2 linked regions of the Styela clava genome follow. The protein of the gene in region 1 purifies or fractionates together with the protein of each later gene. This does not show direct contact. Links are inferred from orthologs where the notes say so. Each region holds a gene or a part of one and is shown on either strand. Other genes may lie near its edges. The genes, in order: protein argonaute-2-like and endoribonuclease Dicer-like.

Region 1 (10,119 bases):
AATCCTTTAATCTCTTTTGTAAATTTGACTCTTTGAGAGTCTGTCAAACTTCTAATCATGTGTAAATCATCACGGTGAATCTCTAACACTTCACATAGGAAATCAACGCAAGACTGAGCTTTGTAGAAAGCAGTGGCAGAAACTAAATGAAGAATAGATTCAATGAAAATATGATAACAAAAGCAAAAAGCAATTCAAAATCATAAATAAGTTCTCATATACATTTGCCTGCCACAGACTTACGAGTCTATCAAATATGAAAATATGTTACTATAGGGATATAATATAATCCCACATTAAAAAATTTGAACTTGAAATACATGGAAACTAAGGCAAATGTCAAAACAGCATTCCCACAAATTGAAATAGGCTAAAATAATAAACTCTGTCAGGCCCGATTTTTTTTTTAACAAATAAAAGTCTTCTAGCGACTTCAGCTTTATTAAGCACTGACAATTTGAAATTGAATAAATTTGTCTAGTATTTGCGAGTAAGAAATTTTAACGAGTGAAACTCCAAGTGTGTGGTCGATAACATTCCAAGCCAATTATTAATGGTTATATATAGGCTATACGTTAATGTACCATCAATATTTAGCATCATCTTCCATTGCGAAGGCCTCATAGATTGATGAAAACCAAACCAAACTTCTCTTCCATGTCCAAGAGATGGAGTTGATGTTTCTGGAGATGAAAAGAATGATCGACCGACAGGTGTATATCTAGAAAAAAATGCAGTATTTATTAAATTATCTTATACGGAAATATAAAGGTAGAATGAATGATAGCAATTTGCACTTTCTTTTGAGGCCAAAGAGGTGAATAATGAATTGTCATGAGAAATGGCTAAAAACTGAAACGTTCAAAAACATGATTTACATGACTAATTTTTGAAAATCTGTCAAAACTACTTTAAAAGCAGGCAGACAGTTGGTATGCACAATTGTTAAATATTAACAAATTGGAACATAATAAAACATTTAGTTAGACAGAGTAGACAAATAAAATGAAAACCTCAAGTTTTAATAATATCCATCCCAAACAACCATAGACAATTTCATGTTGCTATGGATGTATGCGCACAAATAAAAGAACAAGTACACTCACTTCATGGAAGGTAAATGACGCATGACAACGTCTAACGCCTGCACAGTTTCAAATGGAATCCCATGCATTTTTCCATCCAATGCCAATTTCAATGAATAGAGAGATACACGAGCGCACCATTTTATTGCAACCCGAAAAGTACGATCTTTGCCTTCCCCAGGTAATGTCACCTCCACTTCAAGCTATAAACAAAAAGTAAAAGAAATATTAGATGCTTTCAAAGTCACCCTTGTATATTACAATAGGTAATAATAGTTCAAACTTGATGATCAATAAAGATTCATTGACAATATTCATTTATATAGGATCTAACAATGAAGATCTATGCACTGTCAGTCACATGATCACATCAGCACTTTTAATCCCATGAATATGATTGATAATGATAATATTGATCAGCAGAAGTCATGTAGAATTGGTGTGGTCAAGTACTTTAGAGTAAAAATTACAATACAGTTATGTGCCAATGCTAAAAATTTTCAGGTAATCTAACTAATCTTAAAAATTATTAAGTCATATTTTATTCGTTTGATTTTCGGTAAAGATAAAATCATTTTTTGAGCAGTTATGTAACTAGTAATATAGAATAGATAATAATCTATTCAGATTTAAGACACATGACGAAATATTTTGACTGAATTAAATTACGATAGATTGTTTGATATTGCAAGTTTCCCAACAAATATAATAATTATAAATATGGTGGTAACAACAGCAACAACACCCTAAATATCAGGGCCCAAACCATTACCGACTAGCACACAAGTAATTATTAATATTCGGTCTGTATTTTAATTTCTAAAATGTCAATAAAATCACACCCCATGCGCTATGACTACTTAGTCATAGACACACAACCAAATAAGAGAAAACAAAATCAGACAATGTTTTAGGTTTATTTTGACCCGATTCCCAAGATATTTTAGTTGATGATATCATAGAATACGAAAATTCTTGAAAAAACAATATATAAAAGACAAGCTTATGTGCTGGCATTTTCACCATTGATAAATACAAGGGGCTTTTCTAAAAAAATGTTAGAGAACCGATACTGGAGTAAACATTCACATTCAGCATATGCTATAAACACAAAAGCAGACACTTCCTCATTCGAATTCTGACGCAATGCTCGTGAAAAAGGGCAATGTTTCAATTGTTTACCATCGTGTAAATACTTCAGATTCAAAAACATAGTAATTTTATAATATTATACGATAAAATGGGTATTTAAATACAACTCTCCATTGTCCATAATCTTTGAAAACATCATAATACTAACTAGAACCCAGAAACCCAACACATATTGTTGAAATTTCAATGTCCCAACAAATAAATAATTTAAATATTCAAAGAATTTCGAACTTATGAAAGTGGTTTCATATTCACTCTATACATATATTTTGAATGAAAAAAAAAATGTATGAACCTTCTGATTATCAATAGGCAGTGGCTGTGCTGTGTAGAGGTTTTTACGGCCATCAAACACTGGATTTCTGTCTTGGAAGATTGCAGTACGATAATTTCCCACCATTGTTTCAATAATTTCTCTGAAAGTTGAAAATGCATAATGAAGAATACTCAATAAAACATTTGAGGTTTTACGGAAACTCGATAATATAATATCAACTATCAATACTATGGACTTATATAAAATACTTATATTTTCATCTAATATTGAGTTTCTGTAAAACCTCAAATCTATAACAAAGAAAAATTACCGTAACAAGCAAATCGTTAAGAGGAATTCTGAATACTGATCAGTATAACAGAAGAATAAAGCAAATATTCGAAATTTCTTATAGCTTCAATTATGATTAAAAAAAAAAACATGTAAAACTGAGTAAGGTTGAGTTGAAAAATTGTTTTAATTAAAAAACAACAACAACAGAAGTTTAAATACCAAAATTTAATGCTAGAATTGGCACTCTTCTATCTTCACTAAAATAAGAAAATCAAAAAATATACGCTCAATTAACTACCTGTTTACTCTCCTTGGGCATTTGTCTGGATGGATATCAATGTCATAATGATGAATATCTCCATTAGGAATGGATACTTTAAAATAATTTGCTTTCAGCCAGATTGGTTTTCCAATCTGACCCACATTTGGACGGGCTGGTGCTTGGAAGTCTATGGCTTTTGACGTACCAACAATCGGAAACCTTGGATCCCCAACTACAAAAATAAGCGTTATTTTGAATATAAAATAAAGACATAACTAGAAAAAAGAAAGACGAAACACAATCTGAACGTTTGTATATATTTCCAATTTTTTTTATTTTTAGGAGTAAATTGAAAACAATTTTATTAGAAAATATGATCACATGGGACACCAAAAACATTTTAATTCAGACAAAATAAATAAACCATATTCGACTTCTTATAACTGCGAGAATAAATAAAATTAAGTATCCAGTTAATTTTATAAATGTACATTAAACTGCTATAATATTTCAGTCAAACATAACCTAAATTAGGACACATCAGATAAGACAAATCTGAAAAATGTAAGCATAAGGTATTGAATAATATTTGAAATGAAACTGTTTACCTGCAGGTCTGACTGGAGGGGTAACTGCAGTTGGAGCAGCAGCAACTGGTGTAGGGGGCTGTTGCTGTGTTCCTGCTGTCGTGGGTTGGTATTGTGGGTTAAATGACTGCTGAGGAGTGAACATTTTGCAGTCTTTTACTGCTTGAGCAGTTGCTTTTTTGAGGTAAAATTTAAAATATTCCAATAATATAAAATTTGCTGTAAAACACAATTCAGTTCTGTATTTGTACCAGAAGTATAATCAGATACAATTACTGTACCAAAGTTAGTATAAGTAAATTATATTAATGCATTCTCTTATCAACGTTATATCGGACTAAGAACTATGATAGGTCTAATTTAGTTTAGTGGCATAACCATTTTTGCATATGTTATTCCTAACGCTCATCTGATTACGCCAACCAAGAAATACATCACTATGTCATGATCAAGTCAGAGCTTGCCAAAGATCGCTCAAATGGTCTGCGTCTATGATAATGATCTCACTAACGCCAGCCGCCCAGCGGCCTGTCGCATATCGGGATAGTTACAATGAGAAAAAGAAAGAGAATTTGGCTGTGTATACGACATAGCTTGCTCGATTCCGGGTGATCGTCTGCGTGTATTGGACGACTGTCTGTATAGTAACGTTATTTTTGGATGACGAAGTCAGATCAGATGAAGATTTGGAATGACATAATATGCAAATATGAGATGATGATAAGAGCAGCCTGAGACATTTACGATGAAGCCATGGCCATTGAATAATTCTGAAACCAAATAACGAATTATACCACATCTCTGCTTTTTGACTTCATTTGAATTACAGAATCAGATTGCCTGTTTGAATTGAATATATCCAGATATCAGTTTATAGCAAATTTTAATTATAGAATTACAGTAGGTCACAGTTCTCCAATTCCAAGATGTCCCAACATTCAATAAAACAAACGCTCAATTTGTCTCTGAAATGAGGGCGTATGGCACGACGGCAGATCACACCGTGCTTGTCTCAATGATAATCTAAATTAATCACGACGTGGCTGTCACATGACCGAAATTGCTTTTTTGCTAAAAACTGTTGAATGCTACTGTAAAATTATTTTTTAACCTATGGTAAATCAGATTCTTTTTTCCAAAAAATCCAATAGTGACATTTTTTGATTGAGCTTCTTTTCCGTTTGTTGTCGGTATGGAGGCCGAGACTGTCTGGTAGAGAAGAGGTTTGCAATCGCAGTTATAATTGACGTCTTTTAATGTGGAAGTTATCCTTGGTATCGGAGAGCTGTGCCGTACTGAATTAGTAAGCCAGCCAGACATGTGGGACTAGACTGAGGCCTGATTTAAAAGAAAAATTTTAAAGTTCAGAAGTTGCATTTTCGGGCAATTGTATTTATCCTAATTACCAAAACCACATTCAGACATTCATCAATCTATTTCATACTAGCCTACATTTTCTCAAAACTATTTACAGCTTCATATTGGTAACTCAGTAACTGGTCTAATACCAGAATACAGTTACAATAATATGGTACATAAAAACTGACTGAAATAATAATTAGTCAGCAAAAGATAACTCCGTAGATAATGTCAGGTTATTATCACTTTCAACTTCTGAACTAAAATCTAGACTGCCAGAAAATTGTTATATCCAATTTCAGAATTTGGCGATCCTTACAAAATTATTAATACTGTAATATGGCGTGGCGAAATTTTATTTTGTTTTTTATTTTGTTTATATATTTTTCTTTTTACTGGGCGATATATCTTGTTTCTCCAGTTTTAGAGTTTCGTTTTACCATTTTAGATTTACAACAACTAGACAACCTGTCAAAGTAACACCGTGCGGTACACTCAGACAGTACCGGTACCGGTACCTTACTGTTACAGTTTAACGGAAGCTGTTCGAAATATATACTTGATTACTGTTATATACAATGTTATTTACAGCACGCACAAAATCGAAACTATGAATCCTCAAGATACGTAAGACAACGCACGGTCGCTACAACAAGAAAATCGAAATCGGGAAGCCCAGCCCTGAGGGTTGGCTCGACCGTTGGTGACGTCGATTGAAACGAATGATAGCTGACAAAGCGTCCGAACACAAAGGATGAATTTCTTTGTTTCTTTATTATCTATGAACCGTGCGAGGAAAAAAGAAACACCACAAGACGCGCGTGCGTCGCGGATGCGGTTCGTGCTCGCCACCAAATATTCCAAACCTGGTAAATTTCCGCGAATTTTTATCCAAAGAAAAATACACCTCACCATTGCGTTACCTAATTTTATTTTGAAAAAAGGTGTAACTGTGTATCGTTTTGTTAAAATGTTGTTGTTCTTCTTGCTGGTTAACCTTTTCATTTCCGGAGCCACCCTGCGTTTCATTTGCCTAGTTTTATTCATATAATTTACATTAACTTCTGATAATTGTGTTTCTGAAGTAATTCAATCAAATGCCGATGGTAAGGAAAAAATGAAGCAATACCGCAAACTAACTGTAAGTAAACGCCAGGTTGTTGATTCATTCTTCAATCTTGTTCACTTGATATTATCATTATGACGTAAGAATAACGTATTATTTCAATGCAAAACTATTACAAACTTTTTTTGTTATTAATTGTCATAAAACTAGAATTAGAAAATGTCTGCCCTTCATTGGGAGGCTCGCCGAAAGCAAGCGGTGATCGATAGGAAAGCGGAACAGCGCAACAAAAGTGACCCGATCCCCGATGAAGCACCAGGTTTTTATCAATACCTATAATTAAACCTCATACTTAAGCTCAATAATGCGACATCTAACTAATATTTAACCGCATAAATGTTATTCAAACCGCAATAAGCGCTACAGATCATTTAAAACATGGATAATTGTTGTTTTAGTTACTTTTCTATTACAGATCCATACGAAAAGCTAAAAAAAGCAAGCGTTGCTGAAGATTTACGATGGGATACTGCCACACCAACTACCACTCTTTTCAATAGGTAAAATTAACCCTCCACTTTTGAAGCACAGAACTTGTTTGTGAAGCAGAATATACTGCTGTGAACTCAAGTAGATGTCATCTATTTTGTAAACAAAAACCTTCTGGCGTTTATCGCCAGAAGGTGAAAAGTTAAAATAAATTTAGTACAACCGATCTTGCATTTATGATGTTGTTTGTCGGGGTTTTATCCAAAATAACGTGCTGACTGGAAATGGGCAATCTATTAAAACATGAAAATTTTTATCGATATCGGTCAGCGGGTAATCATGAAATCGCTACCAGGGCCTTTAATTTTGTATTTTTTGACATTTTTAGGTCCCAAACAAAACTTGAGAAAAGAAAACAAGACAATTCTACGAATGCAATATCGAAAGATGAAAAGTGCGAACCGCATCAGGAAAATAAAACTTACAGCGCTAAGATAAGCAATCGTTATTCGTCCATTGATTACGTTCAGCAATATTGACATCGTCAGGCCTTTTCATATTTATACAACACTATTTAGGATTTAGAATTGATGAAGTGAGCATAAAAATTGAGTTTATTTCAATTGAAATATACGAAAGATTTATTTAAAATATTCGGACTGACAAGTATCTTAGAGCTTATGTCAAATTCATGAAATATAAGAATTGCTGATCTAAAATGCAAATATGAATAGTAGTTACGGTTTCAGTCGTTACAATTTTCGACAGAGTAAAAGATTCAGGCCTGATGTTTTATAAATCAGCGCCAGTGTGGTAAACATCATTATAGAGTCTTCCCTCCGATAGTACATGAAACTGTTTTCAGCTCATTTACATCCCACTTCATTGTGCAATAGCTATGCGAATGCAAGTCTCAGTCTTGAATGGTTTATACTTTAAACTTAAAGCAATGACAAACGCGCGTATTGAAGTGGCAAGTGGACATATGAGAACTCCTTAGCTAAATCTCTTCATACACGATAAAAGCCGACTTCACGAATAATTAGACAGAGGATTCTTGTTAATTTCATGAAGTATATATCATGCAAATTGAAACAGTATACTGCGACTTGTGAAAAATTAGATATTGTTGTGGTTATAACATATAACTCAAGGTATTCTGGATTGAGAACCCATCGTTATGGGTCTGATACACGTTGTTTTGAAGTTCTGAGGGATGGTTATTGTCAATAATATAGTGTCAGCCCTTCGCAATGCTTCACTTATCGCGAGTCCTCTGACATTTCCCATGTGCTCAAATATTCTTAGCTCATAGTTACATGGCCACAGTCCGAATTTCGATAAAGTATTGAGCTGTGTGGAAAACTGCATATCACCAAATCAAATATTTGAACTTATTTACTGCGGGCATCAGGTCAAATAATATATAGTTGAGTCAGAATTAGAATCTAGATATTTCTACAATATTACCTTCAGGCTGCGAAGATGAACAACCCTAATTAGTGCCACTACATAAAAAAAAATAAGCTTATCCTGCACAGCAACGATCTGAAGAAGCGTTACGATATCAAATTTCCAAAAGTTGTTGTTTTATAGTTTATTTTAGAAATTATACACTATGTGCACAAACGTTATAAAAGAAGGCATAATATAATATTGAATAGCAATAAGAAAAACAATTGTTTTGCCTAATAGTTAGTTACATAGCAATATTAATAAAATTCTATCGAAATAATAAAACAATAAAATGCAATAAACTTGTCATGGCCTTGAGAGAGGTTATAACTTCAAATGTTCGAGGTCGGACGAATGAAAATACTTATATTCGAGCGCAGCTTGTTTGTCCCTCTCGCTCTGATATATATGCATCTAAAATGACCTTCATATAAACTAGAAACCTCAAATTTCAAAGACCAGAAAGAACAATTTAAAAGAAACCACATTTGATAGGTTATACAAGATATTTTAACGTATATTTATAAAAAAAAGATTGTCAGAAAAGGGTAAACATCATTCCAGACCAAATTAATGAAAATTTTGCACCATAACCATGAAACTTGTTTCAAGGTTGCATCTTAAGGTAACCATATTTGATTTGCAGCAAATTTCCGTAAGTTTTGAATGTGACAAACTAGGTATTAAATTTTGGTAAAGTTGAAACATATAGATGAACCATCAGAAATTGCAATTCTAATTTCTGTACATAAACATTTTCGATTAAATCATTTCCGTGTGTTTAGGTAAACATATTTTCAGTTGATTGACAAAACGCTGAATTTGTACTTTAAAACTGTAATGTACCTCAGTCCTCAATATAAAGATTTAAATAACCCTATCTCACAATATGACTATTTGGCAAAAAAAGATTTGGTCCTACAGTCAGGATTCCCACGGTAAAAATAACGCACATAATAATACTTGAAAAAAGAAGTTGAATGGAACGAAAAACAATGTTAAAATATTGGCATTATTAAGCACCGTTCAAAGCATATCGGCCCGCCTAATTTGATGCGGTCAGGCTTATACTTTATCGCAGTCACGTTGAAATAGGAAAAAAAAGAATAGAATATGCTGCGTCTGCGAGGTACCGAACACAGCGGAAAATTAAATGCATAGAAATTGTCCTGGTGCCTATTATCTGACGAAGTATATCCCAAGAATGACGATTGTTTCTTGAACAAACCCATGATATGGGGGCTTGAAAATGTACCTTCAGAATTGAATAAATAGCGATTAATAGCACCCGCAATTGGATCCCTCGGTTTATTCTAAATTACGGAACCGAATTCTTTTGAATTTATCTCCTGCAGGTGGCGTGGAGTAAAACAAACACAAATCCCTCCAACCAACCTGTCATACCGTCTGTTGACGAAGTGCTTTGCAGCACGGATAAACGGCTTTAATTTCAGAAGAGTATAAATCAGATAAGTCTTTCTGGTGGCGGTGGTTGCATAACCGTCATCATATCGTCCATTCTCACGCCGCCTTTCTCTTCGTTGGCAGAAGGACTGTATTTTCCTTCTAAAGCTCTCTTCTTTTTAACTTTTTTAATGCAGCAATATATAAGAATTCCAATGATTGTTAATAAAACCACCCCACCAACTACACTTATTATTATAATTTGTTCTGTGGTTAGTCCGCCACTGTCGGAAACCGTTGTAGTTGTACCATCTGCCGACCCTTCGGTTGTTTCCATTGGTGTTGTTGTGCTCATGGCTGCTCAGAATTTCCGCAATCGATGTAGAAAAACGTTGAAAGCCTTTTGTTGATAATCCTAATCACAATAATTATCACAGACTGATTAACTCCGCTAATTTAATTCGCAAGTATTCTATCAATCACTGTATAAAAATAATGTTTGATTATGGATTAAATCTATTTATTTCACTGCAAATGAAATGTAATCGTACCAAGAGTAAATCAAGTCGCAGTTTTAAACTCAATTAGACAAATTATAAGCACAGAATATGTTCTACAAGAATTTATAGGGAATCCCTTCCAAAGCACAGTTGTATCAGAGGTTTTGAACATTTTTGCTCGACAGCACCCACGAAGCAAAAAAATATAGT
Region 2 (10,316 bases), on another chromosome or scaffold:
CTCGTTTCCTCTGATTTAACTAACACAGTTTTTGATGAAATCTAAAGTTATATTGATTTTATAAGAAATGATAAATGATCAATTGAGTACTGGACCATAGGAAACCTAACTGAAACAGTAAAATTTCATTTCTTAACAAAATAGTACCGGTAGGTCTTTAACGATGGCTGCTAATCTAGAGAATCGATCAAAATTAAGATGCAAAAACGAATAAAAGGCCGAAAGTATATTTTTTGAGGTGCATGACTTGAAAATTTACATTATTTATATTTTATTGCTTTAGAATACAATGAATAAGATGACAATAGTGATGTGTTGACGTGACACAACCAATTATTCAACTAATTGATAGGAATACATTTCAAGTGTACCCTGTGAAAACCTACGCAAAATTTGGATCGTGTGGGGGGGTGATCAGATGCATGTTTTATAAGTGATTAATAATAACTTCCTCGACAATCCGTGTCCCATGTACAGATTACACAGGGTTTAAAGTTCAATGGTAAATTAGCTACGGTAGTTATTCCTAAATATAGCACTGACAAGTGGTGAACTGGCGGTCTTAATATTATGTCTTACATAACTTTATCCAGATAAAAATGAATAGGATGTGTGTTTGTAGTCCAACAACATTATTGTACTTTCTGTAAAAATAAATATCAAATTAAATGAATTTATACAACTAATATATATACCTTGCATATTTTCAACCACTCAATTGCAGGAGTTAATATTTCTCTTATTTCAGAGCAAATTTTGTCAGGTTTTTTTCTTTTCAGTTTGTCATCATTATTATAAATTTCTACTGAAGGTTTTCTTGCAGCACAAAGAACAATTTTTTCATCTGGTTGTGATGGAGAAAATCCATCCAATGCAATCAAGTCTGTCGCAGTCTCTGCCTGAAAAAGGTAAAAATATTATAATTTTTCACAATCCAATCCAAGCATATGCCTAAGAATATTGCCAGATTGAAACAGTAAATATTTTTCCAATAAGATATTTATAAACCTTTTGCTCTGAACAAGACTCTGCACAAGAAGCTACTACTGAGTGAGGAGCTCCTAACGCTTGGAAGAACCAGAATTTTTTGATTTGATATCACTTATTTGAACCAGTGATTTTAACCTGTGATGCTATCAGAGTTAATATTAACAATAAATAATAGGATATAATGAATTAAAGATTTTAAAAATATCATCTCCACTATTCTGCATCTCAGTTTCAATTTCTATCAATTAACGATGAATTCTGCAAATTTTTCTATTGCCCATGACCCTACTTTATAATAATATTCAAAATTCTATATTCAGTAATATTAAATTTAAATGCATTTTAAAAAGTAAATTATTCAAATAAAGTCACTTAATCACTTCAACATAAAATATTTAATTATTAATATACCAAATGCTGACATTTATAAACAGGCATGTCCATAAGTAATGACTGTATTGATTGAGACTCATTTCAATTAGAAAAAGAAAAATTAGTTTCAGTCATCAGAAGGGTTCTATTACCTTACAATGAAGTAATCTCTCCATTTCATTGATGTCTTTTTCCAATACTGATGCTGAGCCATTTTCTCGTAGTAGCGAACAAGTTAACCCCAGAATGTACGGATTTTTTCCCGCTTTGTCAAAAACCTTTTAAATAATGTAGAAAATACAGTGAAAGATGCCTGACTTAAAATCAACACAATATTTCAAATTTTTCTACCTAAAAGACTAAACTTAACAAATTCAGATTACCTAAATTACACTAATCAAAATTTAATCTTCCATATGTAAAATTGAATTATATTATTTTATCTATATTGATAAGATAATTTCACATTTAACTCTGAACATGGCTTCATACAATAAGCCAGGGCTTGGTTTAAAATCATGGCTTCCTTCAAACTGTGGCTACAGCTCCAGTGCTTCATTTTTTATGTCAGAGCTCTGGCTCCAGGGCCATTAGGGTTTTTAGCTCGACCACAAACATGAAACATCAGTCCAATAGCAGTTATACAGGGGTTTCAAATTTGGAAATTAGGCATTCAAGTATATAAATTCAACTTCAAACTTTTTATGTAGTATTAGAAAATTATAAATATAATATAGGCAGGAAAGAATGGATTTTTCATTAATCATATTAGGCATCAGTTGCTGAGGCCCATGAAAGTTTCAGTAGGCCCCAGCCACACTAGTTATTTTTTTCTAAGCTTGGCTCCCGCTCTGGCTTCATGTTCTGAATTCAACTCCCCAGTCCTGCTAGAAGCCACTGAGGCTACTACGTACACTGAAGCTATTGCAAGAAGTTTTCTTTAGATAGGACCAAAAAAAATGGTATGATGCTGCCTAACCAATTTACAGCATATGAAGTGATGAGCACGGGGTTCGAAACTGAGAATATTTCACCTGCTACAATAATATAGGTCCAATGGTGAAACCACTAGGTAAATGAGAAGAATCCACCACAATATAATCCTATAAAAACTAACTATGCTGAAGATATGTCTAATACAAGAACAAAAGTTTTCTAAAAGTTTGGCACTCATAATTAACAACAACAATTTCATGTTCAAATGAATATAAAAATAGGTAAAATTACGTATAATTTCTCAAATTTATCAGCCAAAATGATAAAAATCTACGTTTTTTATACCTGTAAAATCTTTCTGTAGTCACTGTCAGGACTTAAAATCGTATGACAATCATCCAATATCAAAATACTTGCAAATTCAATATCAAACATATTATTTGTAATAGCTTCAGAAAACACTTCAGGTGTTGTCACAATAATCTGTAAATAAGATTATATTCAAGAAATGATAAAAGATTAAATTCCCACTCTCAAATGTATTTTCAAACACGAATTCCACACAAACTCTTATAGAAACATCTGAAATAACAATAACAAAACTACATAATACTTGAATAATCAGATATGAACAAATTGTTATTTTTTTTGGCTCACCATGTTTTGTAACATAATTTCATCCCATCCCCATGAGTCAAGTTGTGAACCTTTATCAGATGTAATTGATGCAATGCTCATGTCAAGATGACATCGTAGCTTTAAACCATACTCACGAACAAAATAATCTTAATATATATATATATATATAAAATTGATATTTAGTCAGAGATATTTGAATTACTTATTAAAATGAATGCTGGAGGAAGAATGCAAAAAATGTTTTTATGGAATAAAAAAATCATGCTCTATTACCAACCTCAGTACATTGAATTTATAAATCTTATCCGTGGTATTACAAATAATGGTAAAGATTAATAATGCCTAATTTTGCCTATGTCATGCTGAAAATATAGGATATGATAAAAGGTAGTACGATAAGAGTTTCGAATCACGAAAAAATGAAAAACTAGCTAAAACTTATCTGATATCATGTGGTTATAAATAATCAACATGATGCTCAAAAACGGATATACATAGTGTAATAGGATAGGGTTTTCATATTTATTGTAGGAAGTGTAGAGATGATAAGTTTGCTTAATCCTATGGCTAACCATGGCCTCTCGTTCGGTTACCAGTCCAAATCAGATATGCGAATAGTCAATCAGTTTTTTGTTTCAAATGCATGCACTTGATGGCGGAGAAAGCCGTAACCAACAAGCTGTTACTTGTATCACCATACACAACAATCTTCTGGTAAATAATTATCCCCACTCTTCATTTTGATCATAGTTGATATCATTACAAACAATTTATAACATCAATTCCAAAAATAAACAACAGTTACATAGCCAACACTCACCTGAATAAAACAATACAAATGCATTTGTTTGTCTACCATCACTACTATAAGGTCTGAAAGATTCTCCCAATATTTCTCGAAGATATGTCATCCATACAAATGATTTTGCAGATGCTGAATTCAAGCAGGCAATCGTATTTCTTTTCAAAGCTCGTTCTACCAGCTCTATCTGAAATATTAGTAATGAAGTTGTGGGTTAATACCAATAAAAATTGATTTTAATAAATGATATAAACCACTCATGGGTGAACCTTCAGAGATAACACATTTTACTGTTTCAATGTACTTCACTGTATTATTGTATTTTACGAACCATAAGGCACACATGAAATATTTTTTATTTCGCAACAATCCGATGGTGTGGCTTATAAAGCATGTGCCTATTGTATGGATCAGGTAGGGATTTATTGTCTCCAGTCAAAACCAGTACCCAGTGTGTCTTATATTGCCTGATGGGCCTTATGTATGAATAAAAACCCAATTTGAGCAATTTATTGTCAGCGCACCATATGGTCCGGTAAATATATTTTGAAATTGACAGCATGGTTAAAAAAAAACTATTCATATAAAGCCCTCTTTTGAAAAGTGAACTTTTTGCTATTTTGTTTTCCTGCACTCACATCCTAATCCAAGATGTAGTATTAGAAATAATTTGAACTTGCCCAGTTGAAATATTGCACGGAAAGCACACAAGAGTATATCTGCTAACTGGAATTGTTTAAAATACTTAACAGTGCTATCAATGAACAGCATGTTGGGCTTACATGTACGAAAGGCAAAGCCATCCAAAATGCTACAAATCTCAACCTCATCAATTTGTTACTACCGTAATTGACATAATTGTGTGGAAATATAATCATAGGACGACTATAAATATTTGAACCAAAGATATCATTTCACTATGCAAAAGTTCAACAACATTTGACTTAATTTCACAAATTTTAAATACCTGATAGGGCCTGGGTGTAAATACATTTGCAGGCATCTTGCTTTATTCTCATATGTGGATTATTCATGAATAAAAGATCACTGACATTTATGATTCTAGTGACTAGTCCATTATTTGTTTTAAACAGAATTTTATTGCAACTTATAAATAGATAAGAAAACCAAAAAATTACAACAATCAGTGATTAAATGAAACTATGCATTTGTAAGTTAATAATAAAGGAAGAACATAATGCAAGCAAATATTCAGTGTTTCCTCACAGAGTTGAGATAGGCAACTATAGATTTCACATTAAACAGTTGTTTTCATTCATACAAATGACTACAATTAGATTTTTACAAAAGCTTTTTCCAATAACATTATCATCAAGAACTTCAAGTTAAGAAGCATTATGGAATATAATTCAACCGGTATATCTAAAGCCATAAACACAATGTACAAAATATCAATTCCTATTATTAGGTGGTTTAAAATATATGGAGATATGATGACCTAGTGTTTAATGATGGACTAGCTAAAGTATGCGGGTATATCTTGTTCTAGTCGGGTGTTTCTCCAACTGGGCCCTCTGCCCCCTATGGAGCAACAGTGGTTCTCCGAGGGAAATGAGCAGAGGTGTATCCCGGGTAGCATTTGCGATGATTACATAAATAATAGTAAATTAATTTTGATTAGTAAATTTAACGACTGCAATGCTTAACTTTCGTTCATTGGCTTTTTTGTTTTTGTTAAAATAACAGATTGGCTCTCGTTAAGAGCAAACCTAGATACATTTTTATAAAAAAGAGGTCCCATGGCGTGTCAAAAAGATTTTGGAACTGAGCCATGAAGCATAGTCCAATCATACACAGCACTTCACTAAGTCAGATGATGAAGTGAATTAGGACCAAGTTATTCCAATCCCAAGGGCTTTCTACATCTAGGTGCAACAGGAGTGATAACTTTTTTGTGACTCTAGATCCAGGCCACTCAAAAGAAGCCAGGCCATGAGAAATTTGGGGCCAGGCCACATTCGATTTGAATGATATGTGCAGAGTGAGTTATGAAGCACGATATGAAAATTTGAAATCCTACAAAGTGGGTTACAAAGCATGGTCTTGAAAATATTGTTAATGTTTTGAAGTGTAAACCCTAATTTAGTGAAAATGTGAAGTCAGCAAAAACACATACGTAAATATACAGTATATCAGAATACTCAAAATGAATACATTTATAAAAAAGAAATGGAGGAAGAGACCAATTATAAAACATGGGCCACAGATTATACCAATGTCCCATGAAGTTGACTGCTGAGTCATTTTATTAATTGAAATAATAATCAGTAAAGGGTATTGGTGGCATCCACTAAATACTGGTAGAACCAAAATGTACTGGCAAAAGACATGGGCAAAGCGGATTAATAGGTGGGAAAACACAGATTTTCCTGTTTTCAGACAAGATTGACAAAGAAGCCATGACCATTACAGGATAATAGCGTTCCCTTTAATTTAACTGTAAAGGCAATAAAGCAGGTCCCATATGACTCAGGAATTTAAAAAATAAAAAAGGAATAGACTTCTAGTTTTTCTTCCATCTGCAAATACTAAAAATATGAAATTTATTGGTCCATTAGTTACAAAAGTAAATTTTTTAACAACAACAACAATTGCAAATCGATTCACAAGTCCACTGAGTGTCCAAAAACAAATTTTATTCATTCATTATATTCATCTCCACTGCAGTAAAAGTGATGAAATAGATTTTAATAAAGTTCGCCAACGAAGTTGATAAACATTATCACTATAGGAACATCAATAATAAGCATTTTCGAATCGAGGATCGATAGGTCGAGGTGATGGTGGTTCTCTTCCAGGCACAAATCTCATGAATCCACTCCTGAAAATTCACAGCATGATAGTCTACGATGGTTTAAAATTAAACATAAGAACATACATCTCACATTAAATTAGGACTTTCCCAAATAAATTCAATAATTCTCTCAAAAAATTGTAGATTTATCAAACTCCCAACTACAGGGATATATATACAAGGTGACCCATAAAACAGAGCCCATAAATTTCTTAATTACGGTACTTCTATGTAATTGATATTTATTTAACAATCTTAAACTTCTGTTTGTGTAAGATTCTTCGCAAAAGTTTTAGTAATCTAGGACGATTTGCAGAAAAGTTATGGTCATTTCTAGAACAGTGGTTCTCAAAATTTTTAAGGCACGAGCCCTTTTTGGAATTTATTAAGTCAAAAAATAACTAGCTAACAATAAGCTACAAATAACAGATAGCAAAGCGAAAGTATATTTTATCTAAAAAACCTGTTGAAAATGCGTGGATGGAACGTAAATAATGAAAAGTTTTGAAATGAAAATATCCAACAAAGATTGGGCAAAATAAAATAGGCAAGATTAAATGTAACAAATATTTTTATTTTTTATTAGCTACACGCCCACTCAAAATTGTCTATGCCTCCCTTGTGGGGCGCGCCCCACCGTTTAAGAACCACTGTTCTAGAATATGCTCCAAATGACCAGAACTCTGTTTTTTGATCCCTTGTAGAAAAAATTCATTTTGTTTTTCTCCATTTGATTTGACAGTAACCATATTTAAAATCATAGGCAGAAGGAACAAATAACTCCAGATACATGTGTGATCAAACAAGAATTAAAAATAATCACTAATTGTTAATATTCGATACATAATTTCAGCATAACCACCAAATAATTTAAAATTCTGAGAAATTGTGTCAATGCGATAGCAGAAAGTAAGATTTTTCCTCAAACAAAAATTGGCACTGATTGCAGATTGTTTAATTAAGAAAAAATATTAAAACTAGAAAAACAACAGAAAAGGCTGAAAGAAAATGAAAATAAATGGCAGTTTCAAATAAAAAATGATGGTTATCAACAAATTAGATATACCGGTATTTACATACCAACTTGCTCAAATACAAATAACACCCAAACTGAAACTACACCTATGAGCGCTGCATTACAGACACAGTACTCGTGGTCAAACTGGTCAAATATAATTTTGGTGACATTTTTTTGAGAATATATATACTCAAAGCAATGTATCATAAGCAGTGTTCCCTCTAAAGTGTGCGCGTGTGCCCGCGGTTGCGCACTCGCATAGATTTACTGCGCACAGACCTATTTCGATGTAATGTAACAATGTTCTCGGTTGGCAGGTTGATAAAGTTTGTTGTTGGCCCACCCATTACCCGGTTAGAACGCTAAAATTTCTTCATTGGTATTTGCACAAATATTAGTCATTTCAAAAAAAGTGCGCACACACCAAAACTTCTGCGCACACATACTACAAAAAATTAGAGGGAACATTGATCATAGGTCATAATCTTCTGCGAAATGGCCACCAGTAATACTCAATGAAGTTGGAGTAAACTTACAGTTAATTCACACCAAAGCTGCTAGCACCTGTGAATCTCATGGTACCACAGTTTCCACTTCACAGCCTGAGCATATTATTCACCATGTAGGCCTGTCCTATACATGTGTTTTTTGGTTATATGTCAAGAAAAAAAAACAGAAAATCATGTCACAGTAATATTTTTCAATTACGATATGTCCAAGGCATCATGAATTAGTTGCGAATAGATAGATTAATAGCCCCAGTTGCTATTTCAATGGTCCCCTCTGTTAATTTAATATTTAGGCACTGACGATGATTAAAAAAAATCACTGATATCCTCGCATATAAGCCGAATACAAAGCTCAAAAAAGTTGCGAAACTAAGGGCTTATACGCGCATAACTCTAATCGCACTAAAAATTTGGCTTAATAAAAGCGCATAACTCTAATCGCACTCAAACGAAATGATATTATGCTAACTTAATTCCACTCAAACCATGCTAATTTCCTACCAATAAGGGCGTATGATTTGTAGGGTCGGCTTAAATACGAATTTTTTATAAAAATTCACCGCTGCTGAAAACGTCAATACCGATATGCCAACATTCCATAATAGACGACAATGCTGAAGGGCCTTTTTACGGGGTCGGCTTATATGTGAAATCGGCTCATATATGAGGATAAACGATAATTCTCAATCTTTGTAAGCCACCACTTTACCCTAAGCAATGTCTAGCAATCACCCCAAATTTGTGACAATTTCACTATGTATTGCCCTAGCAGCCTATGCTTGACTGAGATGAGCAATACTACATTACCAATCTAAATTAGTTCAATATGCAATCACAAATTTCACTTTATTTCTATATGTACAATTTTTTTGAATATAGCAAATACATAACCATGCCTCAAAATTATATAAATTATAAGACAAGATTATTGGGAACAAAGCATATGCAAACACTCAGAATTGCAAGTTTCGAATTGAATGAAATTAGAAAAAATATTTAAAACTTGCAAACATGCAGAATTTTATTAAAAAAGTTGTCCACCTCGAACATTTCCACCAGCATACCTGATAGTTTGTTGAGAATTGGACAGTCCTTTATCATTGGAGCTATTTTGTCTTGAAACATTGCTTTGTGTTGTTTTATTATCTTGCAAATTTTTCAATGTTCCAACTTTTCTCCAATTATCTAAATAATTAGCTTTCCAGAGATGAACTTTTCCATCATCTCCAGACGATGACAACACCGTACCAAGAACATTCCAACTAACTCTCCATACTTTGCTATTGTGAGCATCAAATTTAGCGACTTCACTCACAGAATAGCTAGACGATTCAGTTCCAGATGTTTTAGAATCACTCAAAAGCTTCATAACAAAAATATGAACACACTTTGACGCTACGGCAAGCGTGTGTCTCATCGCACCGTAATTCGGAGCAAATTCAATATCATTAACAGGATCCGTTATTGTCATTATTGTGTGAACTTTGACCCAATCACGATTGATTTCACTGTATTCATATATTAAAACCTTGCCGCCCACGGATGGGTTATTATCATCACTACCCACTGCAATCATTGAAGGATGTTTGTAAAAACTTGAGGGGTTCCAGGACAAACAACTGCAACCTAATTTCAATTTGATTTGATGCTGAACAGACCATTGAGCCAGATTCATAACATCAGGTGCTTCGTAAACACGTACAATTCCATCAGCAGAGCAAGTAGCCAGTTGTAGACCGAGATGTTTTGGAGCAAATTTTACATCAGTTACAGATGTTCGACTATCCACAAGAGACGATTTACGTATCCATGATCTATTATTTTTCAATGTTGTCGTATCAGTAACAATCTCTTCCCATACAGCAGCAGTTCTGTCAAAGGAACATGTTGCAAGCACTTGCCCAAATTCAGGGTGAGCCCAACATACTTTCCAGACTGAACCATTGTGAGTTTTCCAGCTGGAACTGCAGTACCAATCACCATCATCATCTAAATCCCATACTTTGACAGTTTGATCACTGGAACAAGTCGCCATACGCTTTCCATAATGATCGAAAGCAAGGTCATGAATAAGATCCTTATGTTCGGCATTGATCTTAATGGCACTAAATTCAGCTAGTGATTCTGTATCATCCATTTTAGCTATAAAATTACTACAAGTTGAGATATGTAAAATATAAATTTTGAGTAAATTGATTGTGCTTTCATGATTGTTCTGATTAAAATTTAATTTAA

Evidence for each region.
Region 2: the proteins of protein argonaute-2-like (region 1) and endoribonuclease Dicer-like purify together in Drosophila melanogaster (affinity purification with western blotting; 5 studies listed by BioGRID, with this or other methods). This does not show direct contact. The link is inferred for Styela clava from reciprocal best matches to the Drosophila melanogaster genes AGO1 and Dcr-1.

What each region holds. Positions count from the first base shown.
Region 1 is NC_135255.1:14,039,135-14,049,253, reverse strand, and holds the start of protein argonaute-2-like, read right to left. Parts: upstream 3,870-10,119; 5' UTR 3,782-3,869; coding exon 3,658-3,781; intron 3,282-3,657; coding exon 3,086-3,281; intron 2,654-3,085; coding exon 2,533-2,653; intron 1,289-2,532; coding exon 1,107-1,288; intron 722-1,106; coding exon 585-721; intron 143-584; coding exon 1-142. Other genes in the region: uncharacterized protein LOC120331088, read left to right, coding at 6,281-6,380, 6,537-6,621, 6,939-7,089.
Region 2 is NC_135251.1:17,065,928-17,076,243, reverse strand, and holds the start of endoribonuclease Dicer-like, read right to left. Parts: upstream 4,868-10,316; 5' UTR 4,743-4,867; coding exon 4,707-4,742; intron 3,927-4,706; coding exon 3,758-3,926; intron 3,084-3,757; coding exon 2,956-3,083; intron 2,782-2,955; coding exon 2,644-2,781; intron 1,641-2,643; coding exon 1,515-1,640; intron 900-1,514; coding exon 696-899; intron 42-695; coding exon 1-41. Other genes in the region: nucleoporin SEH1-like, read right to left, coding at 6,497-6,581, 9,146-10,218. UniProt on the Drosophila melanogaster protein: Endoribonuclease which functions in microRNA- (miRNA) gene silencing and, independently of its ribonuclease III activity, also acts in the short interfering RNA- (siRNA) gene silencing pathway.